Linked DNA regions of Macaca fascicularis. The protein of the gene in region 1 purifies or fractionates together with the protein of each later gene. This does not show direct contact. Links are inferred from orthologs where the notes say so. Each region holds a gene or a part of one and is shown on either strand. Other genes may lie near its edges.

Region 1 (9,357 bases):
TTGGCTCACCGCAACCTCGGCCTACTGGGTTCAAGCGATTCTCCTGCCTCAGCCTCCTGAGTAGCTGGGATTACAGGCATGTGCCACCACGCCTGGCTAATTTTATATTTTTAGTAGAGATGGGGTTTATCCATGTTAGTCAGGCTGGTCCCAAACTCCCAACCTCAGGTGATCCACCCGCTTTGGCCTCCCAAAGTGCTGGGATTACAGGCATGAGCCACTGTGCCCAGCCTTTTTTTTTTTTTTTTTTTTTTTTTTTTTTTTTTTTTTGAGACAAAGTCTCACTCTGTTGCCCTGTTGCCTGGGCTGGAGTGCAACGGCATAATCATAACTTACTAACCTCGACCTCCCTGGGCTGAGGTGATCCTCCCACCTCAGCCTCCTGAGTAACTGGGACTACATGCACACCTCACCATGCCTAACTAATTTTTTATTTTTTTGTAGAAATAGGGTTTTGGGTTGGGCACAGTGGGTCACATCTGTAATCCCATCACTTTGGGAAGCTGAGGCAGAAGAAGCACTTGAGTCCAGGTGTTTGAGACCAGCCTGGGCAACATGGCGACACCCTATCTACAAAAAATCAGCAGGCCATAGTGGTGTATGCCTGTAGTCCCAGCTGCTCGGGAGGCTGAGGTGGGAGGATCACTTGAGCCTAGGAGGCAAAGGTTGCAGTGAGCCGACATGACGCCAATGCATTCCAGCTTCGGTGAGAGTAAGACCCTGTCTCCCCAAAAAGAAAAGAGAAGAGAAGAGAAGGAAGGAGAGAGAAAGGGGAAAGGGGAGAAAGAAATGGCTGGTCTTCAACTCCTGGGCTCAAGCGATCCTCCTACCTCTGCCTCCCAAAAGTACTGGGATTACAGGCATGAGCTCATTTGTATTTTTATAGGGCGGTTTCATGTCCCAGAAAATTTTCTGTCTTCACTCATAAAAATTTTTAGTGAGAAGACTAAGAAATGGCCTTTGGGACAAGAGTGCTCTACCCTGGAGGTCTGGGCCACGGCACTTCTGAAGCATGAGCAGAAGCTACTAAGCAATCAGAGTATTTGCAGTTGTAGATGGGATTATGTGAAAAATGTCGCCTTAAATTGATATTCTCGGCCATGTGTGATGGCTCACACCTGTAATCCCAGCATTTTGGGAGGCTGAGGCGGGTGGATCACTTGAGCCCGGGAGTTCAAGACCAGCCTGGGCAAGATGGGAAAACCCCATCTCTACAAAAAATACTAAAATTAGCTGGGCGTGGTGGTGCACACCTGTAGTCCCAGCTACTCGGGAGGCTGAGAGGTGAGAGAATTGCTTGAGCTTAGGAGGCTGAGGCAGCAGTGAGCCGTGATTGCACGACTGCAGTCCAGCCTGGGTGACAGAGCAAAAACCCTGTCTCGAAAAATAAATATATTTGTCTTCTCCTTAAAATTGGGCTTAATCCTTTGGCACCAGGATAAGTGGAATAGGGGTAGGCAGGTTAAATAAAAGGCCTTATGAAAAATCTCCATTTAAGATCTGTATAATTGAGCCTTTTTTCATGCAGTAGGAAGTCAAGAGAGTCTTTTCACCTCTTACCTAACTATATAAAAAGGTATATTATTAGTTAAACAAGGCACACTTAGAATGTCACCTATTTGAAATGTTGAATTTCAGGCTCCTTCTTTGGTGCCTCCGGTGATTTGAGCATTGAGAGGAAAATCTCAGCTTTCAGGTTTCTGTGATCCTGTCTTGCTCCATCACCTGCACCTGGCCCCCAGTAACACCAAACTGCCTGCAGTTTCTTGGAATTGCCGTTATTTCTCGAAACCTCCTCAACCCCTCTAGCTAATTAGTTGCTCTCTTCTCTCTGTTTGCATATCATTCTCTGCATACTTCAAGTAAAGTAAATATCTTACTGTTAAACGCAGAGCTTTCATGTCTTTCACTGTAAGTCAGTGTGCTCCTTGATAGCCCTTGCTGGGTTTCATTTATTCATTTGTTTGATCTCTGGAACTATCTTAGGTGCCTGATTTGGCACTTAGTATTGGTTGTATTAATAAATGTGACTCCTTGATATTTGGAAATGAAATTTTTAAAATTCTTTAAAGGTGATCCTAGACCTTGAGGAAGAAAGGCAGCGGCATGCACAGGATACAGCTGAAGGAGATGATGTCACCTACATGCTAGAGAAGGAAAGAGAGAGGCTGACTCAACAGGTAATTAAGGTAGAGGGATTCACAGTAGCATTTGCCTGGAATCGCATTTCCCAAAGATTATTTTGCAGGATGCCAATTGGTATTGTTCAAAAAAGGGGCTTTGTGGTCAAATAAGTTTAGGAACTACTGGATTAACCAAAGTTAAACAGGTTTCTAACTTAGTTAGGATCTTTAGTATGCAGAAGCACATTGTGAGTCTTGAAGAACAAGATAGGGTATTCTGTGTTTAGAAAATCCATGGTTTTAGAAAATCTTTTATTGGCATAGATCCCTCACTGTGGGACTATTGTTCCATAGAACACTCTTTGGGGAATGGTAACTTACGGCTTGTAGCTCTCAATCTTTTGACTTAAAACCCCCAGTAAGAAATGATATTTTATTCACAACCCAGTATATATAGACACACACAGTTATGCGTGAAACAAAAATCTCATGAAATGATATATAACCCCTACTGCTTCAGTACACATTGATGTTTTCTATTTATATATTTTTTTAAAATTCTAGTCATGGCTCAATTTGTTTCCCCATCTGTTAATGGATCTCAGAGTTTGAAAAACACTGAGTTTCTTCAACCCTTACCTTCTCACAGAGAATCTCTGCCTCAAATAGGGTTGGGAAGACAATTAAAACAGACTATATTTGTGTAAAAAATATGATTCAGGCTGGGCACAGTGGTTCACGCCTGTAATCCCAGCACTTTTGGAGGCCGAGGAGGGCGGATCACCTGAGGTCAGGAGTTTGAGACCAGCCTGACCAACATGGAAAAACCCCATCTCTACTAAAGATACCAAATTAGCCGGGTGTGGTGGCGCGTGACTGATCCCAGCTACTTGGGAGGCTGAGGCAGGAGAATCGCTTGAACCCACGGGCGGAGGTTGCGGTGAGTCAATATTGCGCCATTGCACTCCAGCCTGGGAGACAAGAGCAAAACTCAGTCTCAAAAAAAAAGTATGATTCAAATGCAACTGTTTGTGTTTGTTTGTTTCTAAGACCCAAGAAAATTATTGCTGAAACTTTAAAAGGTTTGTTTTCAGCAACATTCATCACAAAATGTGGTTGATACAGCTTTCTGTTATCTTGTTTTGATTGGTTCTGATGCTCTGCACATACATGAAACGCAAAGATACATCATATTCCCACTAATCACTCCAAGACAGTACAGGAACTAGAAGTGCCTCCCAAATCATCAAAGAAAGATTAAATCATAGTGTGTGCATTTTTTGTTAGGTGTTCTAAAACTTCAGAAATACTTGATCTAAGCACTGTGATATGCATGTTAATCCTGTATACCAGAGAACAGCTAACAAAGACACTCTCCTTGATCATAGTTTTTCAGTATATCTCTCTTTTCTTTTTTTCTAGTTGGAATTTGAAAAATCCCAAGTGAAAAAGTTTGAAAAAGAACAGAAGAAGCTCTCTAGTCAGCTGGAAGAGGAGCGCTCCCGCCACAAGCAGCTCTCATCCATGCTTGTGCTTGAGTGCAAGAAAGCCACCAACAAGGCAGCCGAGGAAGGACAGAAGGCAGGAGAGCTGAGCCTGAAATTGGAGAAGGAGAAGAGCCGGGTGAGTAAGCTGGAAGAAGAGTTGGCAGCTGAGAGAAAGAGAGGCTTGCAGACTGAGGCCCAGGTAGAGAAGCAGTTGTCAGAGTTTGACATCGAAAGGGAACAACTGAGAGCAAAACTGAACCGAGAAGAGAACCGGACCAAAACTCTGAAAGAAGAAATGGAAAGCTTAAAGAAGATAGTGAAGGACCTAGAGGCTTCCCACCAGCACAGTAGCCCTAATGAGCAATTGAAGAAACCAGTAACTGTGTCCAAAGGCACAGCAACTGAGCCTCTCATGCTAATGTCTGTGTTTTGCCAAACAGAGAGTTTTCCAGCAGAAAGAACCCATGGGAGCAACATAGCCAAGATGACAAACACTGGGCTGCCTGGTCCTGCCACTCCTGCTTACTCATATGCAAAAACCAATGGCCATTGTGACCCAGAGATACAAACTACCAGGGAGCTGACTACAGGCAACAATGTAGAAAACCAAGTGCCTCCACGGGAAAAATCTGTGGCACTGGCCCAAGAGAAACCAGTGGAGAATGGTGGGTGTCCTGTGGGGATTGAGACTCCAGTCCCAATACCCAGTCCACTCCCTTCCAGTGGGAGCTCACTGTCTCCCAGCAGCACTGCCTCCTCCTCTCTAACATCCTCTCCTTGCTCTTCACCGGTACTCACTAAGCGTTTATTGGGGTCATCAGCTAGCAGCCCTGGCTACCAATCATCCTACCAAGTAGGGATCAACCAACGGTTCCATGCAGCTCGGCACAAATTTCAGTCCCAAGCAGATCAGGAGCAACAAGCCAGTGGCCTACAAAGCCCTCCGTCCAGGGATTTATCCCCCACCCTCATAGACAACTCTGCCGCCAAGCAGCTGGCCCGAAACACAGTCACTCAGGTGCTCTCCAGATTCACTAGCCAACAAGGGCCAATCAAGCCAGTCTCTCCCAACAGCTCTCCCTTTGGCACAGACTATCGAAATCTGGCCAATACTGCCAATGCAAGAGGTGACACAAGCCATTCACCTACTCCAGGGAAAGTGTCCAGTCCCCTGAGCCCCCTGTCTCCAGGAATCAAGTCCCCAACCATCCCCAGAGCTGAGAGAGGAAACCCTCCACCCATCCCACCCAAAAAACCTGGCCTCACCCCTTCTCCATCTGCTACCACTCCACTGACCAAAACTCATTCCCAGGCAGCCTCTTTGACCACCACAGAAGACCTTGCCAGCAGCTGCTCTTCCAATACTGTTGTAGCAAATGGTAAGGATGTTGAGTTACTTTTGCCTACCAGCAGCTAGTCCCTAGGAGGGAGTCTCCACGTTTGACATTCCATCAGATTTCGTCCAAGAGCTCAGTCAGACTTTTGAGTCAGATTACGTTATTTATTTTGATAGTAACTGAAACCATCTGTATAATACATTTAGTGTATTTCACCATTTTGTATTTTTTAAGTAGAAACTGAGTAGTTTGGATTTTTATGGCTCACATCTTTTTACTGAAGCCAGAAAGGCACCTCAAAGATGTCTCAAGCTCAGCAGTCACCGTCATGTTGTGATGAAGAAAGCAAATCACCAGGTGGTGATTTGGTATCTATTTGGGAACTAAAATCACTCAACACTCATTTTGAATTATGCAGAAGTGGTTCATGCAGATTTTTATTCCAGATGAACATGTTTTAAAAGTGCCTGAAATATGACTGCCATATGAATGTGATTCTGCAGCAAAAAACACAAAATGGATCATTTAATTGCAGAAAATGACATCCTCTGCGAATTTTGAATGTTAAAAACCAACACTGCTTTTGATTCTCTTTTAATGTTTTAATACAAGCTTTGTGTTCTGAAACAAGGCTGCATACGTAGAATGGGAATCCTTCTAAAGGTGGGTGTGAACTCACCACAAGCTGAGCTTTATAGAGCCCTTGAGAAACCCTCCTGAGAAAATCAGTTGGGGTGCTGATTTTCTTGTACTTTTGAAAAATTGAGTCACCCCCAGTTTCTTGCATAAGTTCTTGAACAGAATGAAATCACATCTCCATTCAAAAAATGTCTCAGACATCTACTGTTGTGTAAGGAACTTCTGATTCTGATTGCTGTTACTTGAATAGGAAATGGTTACTCATTCTGTATAAAAGTTTTGCAACAGAATGAAATTTTTATTCTGTAATCAAAAAGCAATAACTTGAAATTCACTCTTTGTAATATTATAAGTCAGAATTATACAAGTTTTACCAAATTGTTACACTTATTCTCCAAGCTGCCACAACCTGGTATCTGTATCTCTAAAACCAAATTAACTTTTGCTTAAATGGGAAGTATACATAGATCTGTACAGAAACATTACCCCTTTACATGTTTAACATACACACACTTAAACACATAAATATTAGTGTGATTATATCTTTGGAGTTTGCAATATAGCATAAAGGACAAGTAGAACTGCACATTAAGATTACCTACCAAAGCAACTAGATGTGGCTGGGACGCAATCAAAGGAGGAGTTTTGTCCACAGGATGGTGGGGAAAATCCAAATGAAGCCCAGATCTTCAGTATCATAAAAAGGCAGAGCTGGCCAGGCACAGTGGCTCATGCCTGTAATCCTATCACTTTGGGAGGCTGAGATGGGAGGATCGCTTGAGACCAGGTGTTCAAGACCAGCCTCATCAACATAGCGAGACCCCATCTCTATTAAAAAAAATAAATAGGCAGAACTAAACTAGCCCCAGTGTCACAAAACTCAACTGGTCATATAAATGAGTGAAACAGGCCTCTCAAGTGGTGTAAAACAGCTGGGAGTAGTGGGAGCTGTGGCAAACTGAAGTGCCCAAGCCCCATTTAAAAAAGGCATCTGTTCAGCTCCATCTGCTTGCTGCCATGCAAGAATGCTAAACCAGGATAACCAGTTCTTCACATTTTTTGAAATCCAGATTTTCATGAGAAATATTCTCATTTTTAAATATCAAGAACTGATTTTAAAATGTTTAAATAGTGCTGGTTAAACAAACACTTCTGCAGCTGGATTTAGGTTGCAAGCTGCCAAGTTGCAACCTCTTTCATTCTAGAAACTTCTGTCATTTTCATCATAGCAAATCTATGTGGACAAAAGCCTCCAAATTTTCCAACTGTGTAGGCCAGTACAGCTGGCAAGGTTCATAGAATATAATGACTATCCCCCTCTGCCAAATAAGACTATCCACAACCCAGCTCAGACACAGTAGTTATATGGATTTTGTGTCCATACAGGGGAGGCCTTGGTGTCCTCACATACATTCTCCTAGCCAACATCTATCCAGCAGCCCTGACCTCCTGCTATAATTTAAGTCTATTTCCTTTTAGTCTAATAAGAGTTGATAGTAAAAAGGCAGGTGATGGAAATCAGTGTATAAATCACAATGGAGTATATTGGCGACTCCACAGCTTATAGTTTGATAAAGGCAAATACGTGAAAAATGAAAATGCTACTAATGCCCCAAGGTGTCTATCAAAATGATGTAGGGGGTATCTTAAACTGTCCAAAACAATCATGCATTGAACTTTATTCCTATGCAGAGCCAATAGTGTTGATAAAATAGTTAAACTTTCTAAACTGGAGAGGAGGCTACAGTGCCAGAGAGTTATTGTCTCTTTTGCTTTAAATGGTAATCTTAAAAGTTGCATTGTGCTCTTCCTTTGTTTGGGGATAGATATATATAGAGAGAGATACTATAAGGAAGTTTATTTCTTAGGAAGTGCACTGAATAATGCATTTCTTTTACAGTGTAATATGGGGGTGGGGATATGCAAAAGAAATGTGTATTTTTGCTAGTTGCCTATCTTCTGAGATAAATAAGCACAATCTTGCAATGGATCCAATAACCCAGTTAGGTATTATAGATTAGTATTTAAGTTTGCTGTAGATTGTGTGTGTGTGCTAAGTAAAAGTTCCATGATTCACAATTTTAGTATTAACCCATGTTGCAAAAGCTGTTACCGGCCAACAGATTGTAATGATGTGTACCATATAACACAAGCATTAACTAGGCATTAACGTTTGTAAAGCCAAATACACCATGCAGAAGTCTTCATTTTTATAACAGACTACATTAAAACAAGTTAAATCATGCTGTTTGGGGGGAAAATAGTCTTGTTTGTACAAAGTGAAAAATGGCACAATTTGGGCATATTTTGTTGGGAAGAGGGGGTGGTATAGAGGGAGCACTTGACTGTGGCTTTGACAAACCAAATGAAGTCAATGACCCATCCAGGTTAGACTCCCTAAGGAACTAAAACATTGATTTTCTTTAGAGTCTTAGAGCTGGAAAAAGCCTTTACAATAATCCAGTCTGTGATTTTTTAAACCATTTGGTGGTTCTGGACCTTTTTGAGAATCTTAGAAAAGATGTAAAGTTTATCCCTAGAAAAATGAATATGCCTATATGCAAAATTTGTTTGATGGCTTCATAGGATCCAGAGACCCTGAAGCCATCCATGGCTCATGTATTCCTGCTTAAGAAAGCATAGTCTTGTTCTGCCCTCTCATTTTACAAATGATTAATGCAACCCTTTTCAACTACTCCAGTGCTGTTGCTGCTGCAATGTTAGCAAATGCAAGCCAGACAGAAGCACTTGAAAATCCTTTGATGTACAAAAAATGTTCAAACAGTGTGGATGTTTACATATCTGATGTTGCCAGCATTTAAGCCAATTAATGATCATTTCAACAAATACTAGCTATAGCCAGTTTCCCTTAATAGCCTGTCAGCAGTGCTGCCTTGTCAGTTTGTGTGCGTGTGTGTGTGTCTGTGTGTGTGAATTCATAAGGAGTGCTTCTGATGCGTAGTCCTTGAAATGGAACTTCAAATGTCTTTCGAAACGCTGGCTTCAAAATAGGATGTGTTTTCCTAATGAATCAGAAGTAGGCAGTGAGCATTGTTCCACAGGAATAATTTTTAATTTAATTTCTATCAAACTAGTTGAGAAATGAGAGCCTGTCTACCCACTATTTGTATATCAATGGCCAATTCATTAGTAAAAATAAAGGAGGAGAAAGGAGACTGGAGTAGTGGTTCTCAAACTTTACTGTGTGTTACTATAACCTGGGAAGCCAGGTAAAATAAAGATTTCTGGAGATTGGATCCTCTGACTAGCTGATGCAGCTAGTCTGTTTTGAGCAACAGTCCTTCGTAGCCCTTACCTGTTCTTTCACAACAACTTGCTATTTGCCTCTGACCCAAGGAAATGTCTTAAGCTCCTGAAACTGGTTTGGCAGAATGTCAGTGATATTCAGAGTCAAGGGTGCCTACATATGAGTACCAAGCACCATGCTAATGATTTCACATACATATTACCTTATTAATCCTCACACGGGTGCTGTGTGGTGTTATTATCTCTAGTGTAGTGATGAGGTAGTTGAGGGTAGGGATCTGTACAAGCACCCTCAGCATATGACAGCCAGGATTTAAATCCTAGTGCTTTGTTCTTTCACTACCGGTATTTCCCAAATGAGAGTCTCCTGGAGCTCTTGTTAAACATACAGATTCCCAGGCTCCTCCCCTGGCGATTCTGATTTCAGCAGGCTAAGGTGGAGCTCTAGATAAATGCCTTGGTGATTCTTCAGATAGAGCAAGTTTAGAATATCCTGCAGGACAC
Region 2 (9,357 bases), on another chromosome or scaffold:
TCATACAGTACAAGACAATATTGTGGGGAAAATTTAAGCACTTAACAGTTACAATATTCAGTAATATAATTAATTTTTATTTTCCCACTTCTACTCAAAAAATCCTGTTACTAAGCAGTGTTAAACAAATGTGTTGGAACTGTGGTGTAGTAACTGTCCACAAATAAAATGTGCACTAGATATATTATTCTGGGGTGGAAGTTGGGGCACAAAAGCTTTGTCTAAATCTCTTATCACTTCAGTACAATTATAACTATAGTTTACATGTTAAATAAGAAATAGGACAAATTTTGATTAAACAATGGAGTTAAATATCAGATTTTTGCTATTCATGGGGGGAAATCTCTACCATGGACCTCAAGGACCTCAAAGTAGTCATACAGTATTTTTTAAATGTTAATAGGTTGTTGCTAAGTCCTTTTGCTTTCTAAAGAAGTACTAGGCATTCTAGTCCCTGATAAAAACTAGTACAAACACTGAAATGTAAATGGTTTACAGTCAGCTATATACTGTATCAGTTCACTAGAATGAAGCTTTAATTGTTCAGATTCCTTCAGTAACAGCAATGGTCTAGGAAAAAGTTCTTCCACCAACAACGTCAGTTTCCTTTCTATAAAGAGGTTAATCCATGTGGACTTCAGAACATCTTCCAGCTTTATTTAATTAATTAATTAATTTATTTATTTACAGAGTCTTGCTCTGTCACCCAGGCTGGAGTACAGTGGTGCGATCTTGGCTCACTGCAACCTCCACCTGCTGAGTTCAAGCAATTCTCCTGTCTTAGCCTCCAAGTAGCTGGGATTACAGGTGCCAGCCATCACGCCCAGCTAATTTTTTTGTTTTTAGGAGAGATAGGCTTTCACCTTGTTGGCCAGAATGGTCTTGAACTCTTGACTTCAAGTGATCCACCCACCTCGGTCTCCCAAAGTGCTGGGATTACAGGCGTGAGCCACCGCGTCCAGCCTGTCTTCCGGCTTTAAAGCTTTGACTATGATTTTTATTTTAATGTCCCATTCTAGTTACCATGACATTCTAAAATGAAGCAACTAATCTTGACCACAGAGTTTTAATTTCTGATCAGATGTGCCATTTCAATTTCAAACTAAACTCAGGTTGAGCTTCACTTAGATTTCTTGACTATATCATGTGCATTATTACAGCTTTTCATGTTAATATTAGCAGTTCGAATTATTTAAAATGTGTTTTCCTTTCTATACATACTATTAACCAATTAAACTCTGCCATAATTGAATAACTATTATCTAAATATTTTGTTGTAACAGTCATAGTTTAAGCAACAACCTTCAATATAATTTCAAATGCTTTGAAAGCAAAAACTTAACATTAAGGTAACAAGGGAGAAATACTCAAATCATTATAATATAAAACTCAATATATTAAAACACACTTAAAATTCATGAGCAAATTTAAAAGGGAAACATTATACAAAAAAAATTAAGCTGTTTGTCAATTTTTTAAAAATTCCCATGAAAAATGATATAAATATGCTACAGGAAACACAAGAGCTGTAATGAAACTTGACAGTCATCACTAATACTACTGGAAATAATTCTGAGAAGATATAATTCATATATGTATACTATGGCAAAATAAAATTCATCTTTATTTAAAACATCTTGTTATTTTATTATTTTATCTATCAAAGTAAGCTATATAATCTGACTCAAATAGGGTTCTAAAATGCAGCTCTGATTCAGTTACTTGATCTAAAATGAATCTGAAAGCACCTGAAAGAAAATATATACATAGAGATCCTAACTAGTATTTAGTTAATCTTTCAATTATGACACTTATGAATCTGAATAATCTGTAGCATTGATCTTTTCCTACAAATTATTAGCATGCAGTTATTGGCAATACCAGAAGCAGCTATCAACTATAAAATCAATAATTTAAACTTATGTTTAAGGATAAGTACATAAAAGTCATTAGATAACATTTACTCAAAGCATTTTTCTCTAGACAAAGAAATATTTTTACTTTAAGCTCATAATTTGTTTCTAAAATGCCACAGTTATTCCCACTCACAATTATACAAACATTCACTGACACAAAGCCCAATAAAATAACTTTAACGTAACAAATCATTTTGCAGGACTATCTCTGATCAGCCACTGACCAATTTAGGAGCATGTGAAGGTTAGTGTCTGGATGTTAGTTTTACTCGCGTTTTGGATTAATTGTACTTAACAAAAAATTAGTATTATACTCATTTCTAATTAATCATATGACCACATTTCTATCCTTTTCTCTATATACACACATATATTTCATGACATATTTATGTAGATATTGCAAACTATTCTGCTTACTCAGTATTTATTTACATATATATGTGTAAAACTTCTTTTACACTATTATCTCTGCTTTCCATATTACCCATCACTGTGGCATATGGTAATCCCAGCAGCTACTCATTTGTTTACCCTTATTTCCCTGCAGATGGAATTAATTTCTATCCTAAAAATTCATTTTATTAATGGTAATATAATTACCCATAGTATAAAAATGTCATTAGTAATTCAAAGAAAAATATAATTATTTTAACCAGCCTAAAAAATTAGTTTTGGTATCTTTTTTTTTTTTTTTTTCTAATAGAGACAGGGTTTTGCTATGTTGCCCAGGCTGGTCTTGAATTCCTGGGCTCAAGTGATCCTCCTGCCTTGGGCTCCCAAAGTGCTGGAATTACAGGCATGAGCTACTATGCCTGGCCTAGTTTTTAATTTAATGATGGAAATTATAAGACATTTTATTAGGAGGCCTAAGAAGGATTTCATCAAGTAATATAACAATACTAGTATAATGGGTCTATAAAATACAAGGTTTTTTTCAGATTTTTATAACTAATCTTCCTTTTGATGGACACTTATCATGAAGAAAACCTGTAGCTCACATACTGAACTCTTTTTCCCAAGAACTTAGTCCAGGTTACAGATTCCATTTATACCAGCGGCAATGTGATATGTCTCAAGTCTTTAGTAACAACAGTCTAGAAGATTGTAATGTTGAAGTACCACTCCTAGAAAACAGACATTGTTCTTTACAAAATGAGGTAGGACATGGACTTCAAAAGTAAAGAAGTAAGTTGGACAGTGCCACTGAAAATAAAGAGATTATGTACTCCAAAGCTGCCTTCTTAGCTTGAAGTCAAACTCACATCTCTTTAAATAACAAATTCTAGTAAGATCGACACTTCAAAAACTGTAATGAAGTTCACACTTATCAAATCTCTCCCCTCGCCCTCCTCCCAGCATCAAGAAACAGATCACTGACCTATATTCTTTCTTTAACACACACACATAACACATAAACAAACACACATAGAGAGCTCTAAGCTGGTTTTTGTGTAGAGTGTGCCTTGATTGGCTTTTACCATAAGTCATTGGTTTGAAACATTTAAAAGGGTTCACACTGCTAACATGGGTTTGCCTTAAACTGCAAAACTTGCAGTTTAAATGTACATTAATTACAAAAATTTTAGCAAGTTGTGCTATGCATATTTGGCAAAACAGACCAAAAATGAAGCAAAATCATCACTAAATGCATTAAAAAAAAAAAATGGAGTTGCTATGTGTAGTTTAGAAAATACTTCTAAAGTAAAACAGGAATATATCTCAATAATGGAAATGAGATCTGAAAAAATTAACAGACACTATTTTATTTTTCATTCTAAAGTAAAACAGGAATATATCTCAATAGTGGAAATGAGATCTGAAAAAATTAACAGACACTATTTTATTTTTCATTCATTTTGCTTTGAATGACTGTTATTTTAGTGATTTTTTTAAGGTGAGTGAAGTAAATGGTAAATTATGAGAGGGAAAAAAATGCAAAATTATTTAACTGTAAGGAAACTGTGCCACTAGGGAAATCTTAAAAGGGAACAAGATGCATTTAAAATTTTTTGACTGGGACATCAAACAAATCCTCTTTACACAGCAAAGGCAATAACATCAATGAAATTTAATATATATGCCAAATTACTGTATCTCGTATGTCACAATAATCTTTGGTTAAAAACTCAGATTCAATACTTATAAACATCTAGACTTAGAGTTATAAATGATTCAAGTATACCTATATATCTTTGGCCAAAATCAATTTTGGAAAAAACGTTTAAGTAGTACTTTCATTTCCTACACATTTCTAGTTTAGGCAAATTTTATAAAATTCATTACTAGGTAGCATATACTTGCTACCAAGTTAAAGAATAATGATATTGCCTTATTCTCAAAGGATTAATTGAGGCAACAGTTACACATATTTTTTAAAGTAATACATATTTAAAGTAACAGGTTGGGCACTGTGGCTAACACCTGTAATCCTAGCACTTTGGGAGCCAAGGTAGGCGGATCACTTGAGGTCAGGAGTTTGAGACCAGCCTGGCCAACATGGTAATATTCTGTCTCTACTAAAAATACAAAAAACTGGCCAGGCATGGTGGCATGCACCTGTAGTCCCAGCTACTTGGGAGGCTGAGGCAGGAGACTCGCTTGACCCCAGGAGGCGAAAGTTGCAGTGAGCTGCACTCCAGCCTGGGCAACAGAGTGAGACTCAGTCTCATGGAAAAAAAAAAAGAAAGAAAGAAAAAAAAAAAAAGGTTCCAAGCACAATGCCTGGCACCACAGTTGTCTTCTAGTAAGTGGTAATTATTATTAGCTGCTAAATTTAAGCAATAAGACAAAATGAGCAGCTTTTTCCATATGTATTATTTTAAGTTTGTTTTTGTAAGTTACTATTTTCCCATTACTGGATCTGTAGTTAAAATTAAAGACTCTGAATTCACCTATGATGGAAACAACTCCTCCTCACATTAAAAATGAAAACAAAATATGAAGAAATAGAAGCCAGAAATGTCAAAATCCCTAAATTAATTACATCAAGAGCTTGCCCAACACCTTCTCTAAAGATCATATAAAATGATCATCAACATTTTAAACAGTAGCCTAGTTGCAATATTAAGATGTGATTTGGATTTAAGGTCTTCTGAAATGTAAATAAACATGGTAGCTAAATTCTGTACCTTCCTCTGCTCTTGCACCTTCATGATCAGTCATTCTAGTAGAGGCTGACCTAGACTGATTAATGATTCCTGAAGGGATGTGGGGCAGCTCATCATCTCCCAGATCAGCTATCATGTCGTAGAGTTTTGTCCTGTTGGCCCCTGTAAATTAATGTCAGCAGTAGAGGTTCATTTAATGGCTACCGCTTGACTTGCCAGCAGCGTCTAAAACCAGTTCATTAACAAAACAGACTATTAAGAAGTCTCAGTTATTAAAATATCAGAAAATTAAAGATGTCTTCCATTTTCTATACCATCCCCCAAAACACATTGAGTTTAAATATTTATTATTTCTGTGGAGAGAGAGAGAGATATATATAAAGATACATATATGTATTACATATATCTCTCTCTCTAAAGATATATATATATCTCCATAGAATACTTTAGAGACAGTTCTTTACAGTTCTGTAAACTCACAGACACAGAAGGTATCATTAAAACAAAGGAAAATTTTGGTGTTTAAGGTTAACATTTACCAGTATAAAGAATAAAATAAGGGCTTTTCAACATAATTCACTGTTTAAAAAAGTTAACAAAGGAATAAGTACAAATAATTTTTATGAGGGTGCAACAAACGATTAACTTTACCTGGTGTTTCCATGGATATTTTCCTGCCATGTTAGTACAAATTTGTCATTAACAAATCATCCCCAATTTCTTCCAAAATGTTTTTCTCATTTTTCCCAAATCTGAAAAACCTGATTTATCCATGAGATAGATCTCTGAGTTTCTCATGATATGAAAGTCAGCACTGTCATAAGCCACAAATGTAAGGGAAGAATTTTGGCTGTTGCCTGGATAATTCAGGCCAAAACATATAAAACTCAAAAGCTTCTGTAGTATTGTAGAATATTCTTTAACTCTGAACTTTAGAAATAGCAGAATTATTTATTTTGAACCATATATTTTGAAAGAAAACAAGTTTTAAGAATGTCAGAAAAAAATACTTTGAAAAGACAATGCTTTATAATCTACATAAGTTTAAAAAAATAAAATAGGTAAGTCCAAGGTCAAACATTATAACCTTATATTTACTAACGTCATCATTAATGGATGTTAAGTTCACTGTGGCTATTTGAGTGTAAGTAACTCTAAGAACTATTACCCATCTATGTATCCTTAACAAAATACCAGACAATTAGATGGTAAAATTTAGTGGAAATAGGTGGACTTTTAAACATTTATTGGTCCTATTTTACAGTAATTCCTAATTTCTTAGAAATGCTTAAACAACTCTACTTCTGGATTAGGTAATATGTTATGTAGTCTGAATTTCCTAACTAATAATAATGAAGAAACTCAGTGTTACCTGAGGATTTTCCCCCACAGAGAAATGACTGTAAACAAATTCTCCAATAAACAAAAAACTGTCTACTAGATATCCAACCACCAGTTAAATTCAATGTAAAAGAACATAAACATTATTCTTTCTCAAAAATAGCTCCCATTTGTATCTTTCCCACTTGTATGACTACCACCATCCTTTATTTAATTTCGCTTCTTAAAAATCTGCAACCATATCTTAATTCTTCTTCAACTTGTAAAATTATAAAAGGGTGGGGGCTTTTTTAAAAAAAGAATCTTCCTTTAAAGTATTCTCCAAGTTTATCTCTCTATTGACTTTAATCAAGGCTTTCAACCTTATGAATTACTATAACAGACTCCTAATCGGTTCTTCTATCTCTGAGCTCCATTTACCTTCAATCACATTAATACACTACAACTAATTTTCCAAAATTATTACATTTATTATATCTCCCCTCACTGAGAAACCACAAGTAGCACTTCAACACTCTGGATCAAAGTTAACTAAAATCATGTACTTAACCTTTCATCATGTGCTTTATGATCTGATCCTATTTTTTCTACCCCATCTTATCTTTTAATGATCCACAATACAAACTCCCTCCATTTTCCAGTCAAAGCAGTTTCCATATGTAGTTTCAGTGTTCACTGAGTTTACTTCTGCCATATTTTGTCATATTTGTCCTCACCCATTCTCAGAAAGGTGAGAATGCTTTCTACACACACACACACACACACACACACACACACACACTTTCTAATCTTCTAACATGCACCTCAGCCTATCTAAATTCTACCCATTCCTCCACACCAGTTTCATCTCTTCTGTAAAGCTTTTGTTGATCTTTCAATGTTCTCTTATTTGTGTGTAACATAAAATGACTTTATTAAATACTACCTTGTAAATAATTTCATTATATGATAGTTAATGTGAAACATAATAAAGCCTTGACAAAGTTTTGTTACAGATTATGTAAAGTCAAAATCTTCCTGTACACATGAACTGGAAGTTACAGAAGGGAAAGAAATTAGGAGCTATTATGGAAGCTACTGTTCAAACTGAGGATCCCAAATTATATAATATTATTTACATACTATAGCCAGATAGTTTCAGTGTGACACGGTGCCAAGTTGAGGAAATGATGAAACTTCCCTGCTCTAATCCTAGTTTCTCAAACGCTGCCAAAAGATGACAGCAGATTTCACAATTTAGTCTTTACTCTATTGTGTAGAGCATCTTTCAACTGCAAATTTAATGTCTTCATTTTCTTTCTAAATCTATCCAATATTCTAAATATAATAAACGCAACAAAACAATTTCAAATAAAAAATGTGATGTCTTATCAGCAATGAGAAAACTGTAGGGGTATAACAGGATACTAGACAATATTAATATCAATATTTAAAGGCATATTTGAAGGCCCATTAAGCACTAATTAAACAAAAACTGAAATTTATAGAAGTACAAATACTTTTTCTAATTCTTACAGCAAGAAAAACTTTTATTTTTTAATTTTTATTATTATTTTTGAAACAAGGTCTTGCCCTGTCACCCAGGCTAGAATGCAGTGACACAAACACGGCTCTCTACAGCCTTGATCTCCTTGGCTCTTGACCTCCCGGACTCAAGTGATCCTTCCACCTCAGCCTGCCCAGTAGCTGGGACCACAGGCACGTACCACCAAGCTTGGCTAATTTAAAAAATTTTTTTTATAGAGACAGGGTCTTACCATGTTGTCGAGGCTGGTCTTGAACTCTTAGACTCAGGCAATCCTCCTACCTCGGTCTCCAGAGTAGCTGGGACCACAGTCATGTACTACCACACTCAGCTAATTTTCGTATTTTTTATTTTTGTAGAGATGGTCTCACCATGCTGCCTAGCCTGGTATTGGCTGCTGGGGTAAAGCAATCCTCTCTCCTAAGCATCCCAAAGTGCTAGGATTGCAGGTATGAGCCATGGTGCCCAGCTAGAAAAACTTTTCTACTACTGTGAAAACAACCCACCTATTTCTTAACAAATAGAAAGTCCTATATAAATGCATAATCCTCTAAACGGACTGACACAATGAAAAATATACTAATTATGCCACGTGTAAGCCAAACTATAGACTACTGTTACGTTTTCAAATTCCACTCTAACATGTACACGCTCATGCCATGAAATTTATCTTCCTATGCTATCACTGTAAGTAAAATAGTACTTTTGAATAAATCTAACATTTTCCCTTTCTCAAATAAGCCCTCCCTTTGTTGATCAACTTTTATATTCTGAAGCAAAACTGTTAGGAGACAAACAATCTGGAAAAGATAAGCTTATTTAGTTAAGTAATGTTTGCTAGATCTGTTCTATTTTCTATAATTAAAGCTTTCACACAACTGTTGTCTTAAATAAATACGAGATCACAATAATAAGAAAAAATAACTTCAGCTGCAAAGTGACTCTTCAGTTTTAAAAAGTGCACTGATTAAAGAGTATCAATCTGATACATTCTGATCCTAGGCAAAACACCTAAGTTATTTTCTTGAAAGAAAAAAATCCCGAGTTAAAGGACATGAATAGTTTGTTTTTAAAGAGTGAAATCGGCCCGGCGCGGTGGCTCAAGCCTGTAATCCCAGCACTTTGGGAGGCCGAGATGGGCGGATCACGAGGTCAGGAGATCGAGATCATTCTGGCTAACACGGTGAAACCCCGTCTCTACTAAAAAATACAAAAAAACTAGCCGGGCGAGGTGTCGGGCGCCTGTAGTCCCAGCTACTCGGGAGGCTGAGGCAGGAGAATGGCGTGAACCCGGGAGGCGGAGCTTGCAGTGAGCCGAGATCCGGCCAGTGCACTCCAGCCTGGGCGACAGAGCGAGACTCCGTCTCAAAAAAAAAAAAAAAAAGAATGAGATTAAAGTCAGAAACATAAAACCACATGCCTAGTTGAAAATAACATCTCTTTTCTATGAAACAATTTTGTTTTTGTC

Evidence for each region.
Region 2: the proteins of CTTNBP2NL (region 1) and STRN3 purify together in Homo sapiens (affinity purification with mass spectrometry; 4 studies listed by BioGRID and IntAct, with this or other methods). This does not show direct contact. The link is inferred for Macaca fascicularis from reciprocal best matches to the Homo sapiens genes CTTNBP2NL and STRN3.

What each region holds. Positions count from the first base shown.
Region 1 is NC_088375.1:121,930,260-121,939,616, reverse strand, and holds the end of CTTNBP2NL (CTTNBP2 N-terminal-like protein), read left to right. Parts: intron 1-2,072; coding exon 2,073-2,180; intron 2,181-3,545; coding exon 3,546-5,027; 3' UTR 5,028-8,767; downstream 8,768-9,357. UniProt on the Homo sapiens protein: Regulates lamellipodial actin dynamics in a CTTN-dependent manner. Associates with core striatin-interacting phosphatase and kinase (STRIPAK) complex to form CTTNBP2NL-STRIPAK complexes.
Region 2 is NC_088381.1:98,726,697-98,736,053, forward strand, and holds part of STRN3 (striatin-3), read right to left. Parts: intron 5,186-9,357; coding exon 5,045-5,185; intron 1-5,044. UniProt on the Homo sapiens protein: Calmodulin-binding scaffolding protein which is the center of the striatin-interacting phosphatase and kinase (STRIPAK) complexes.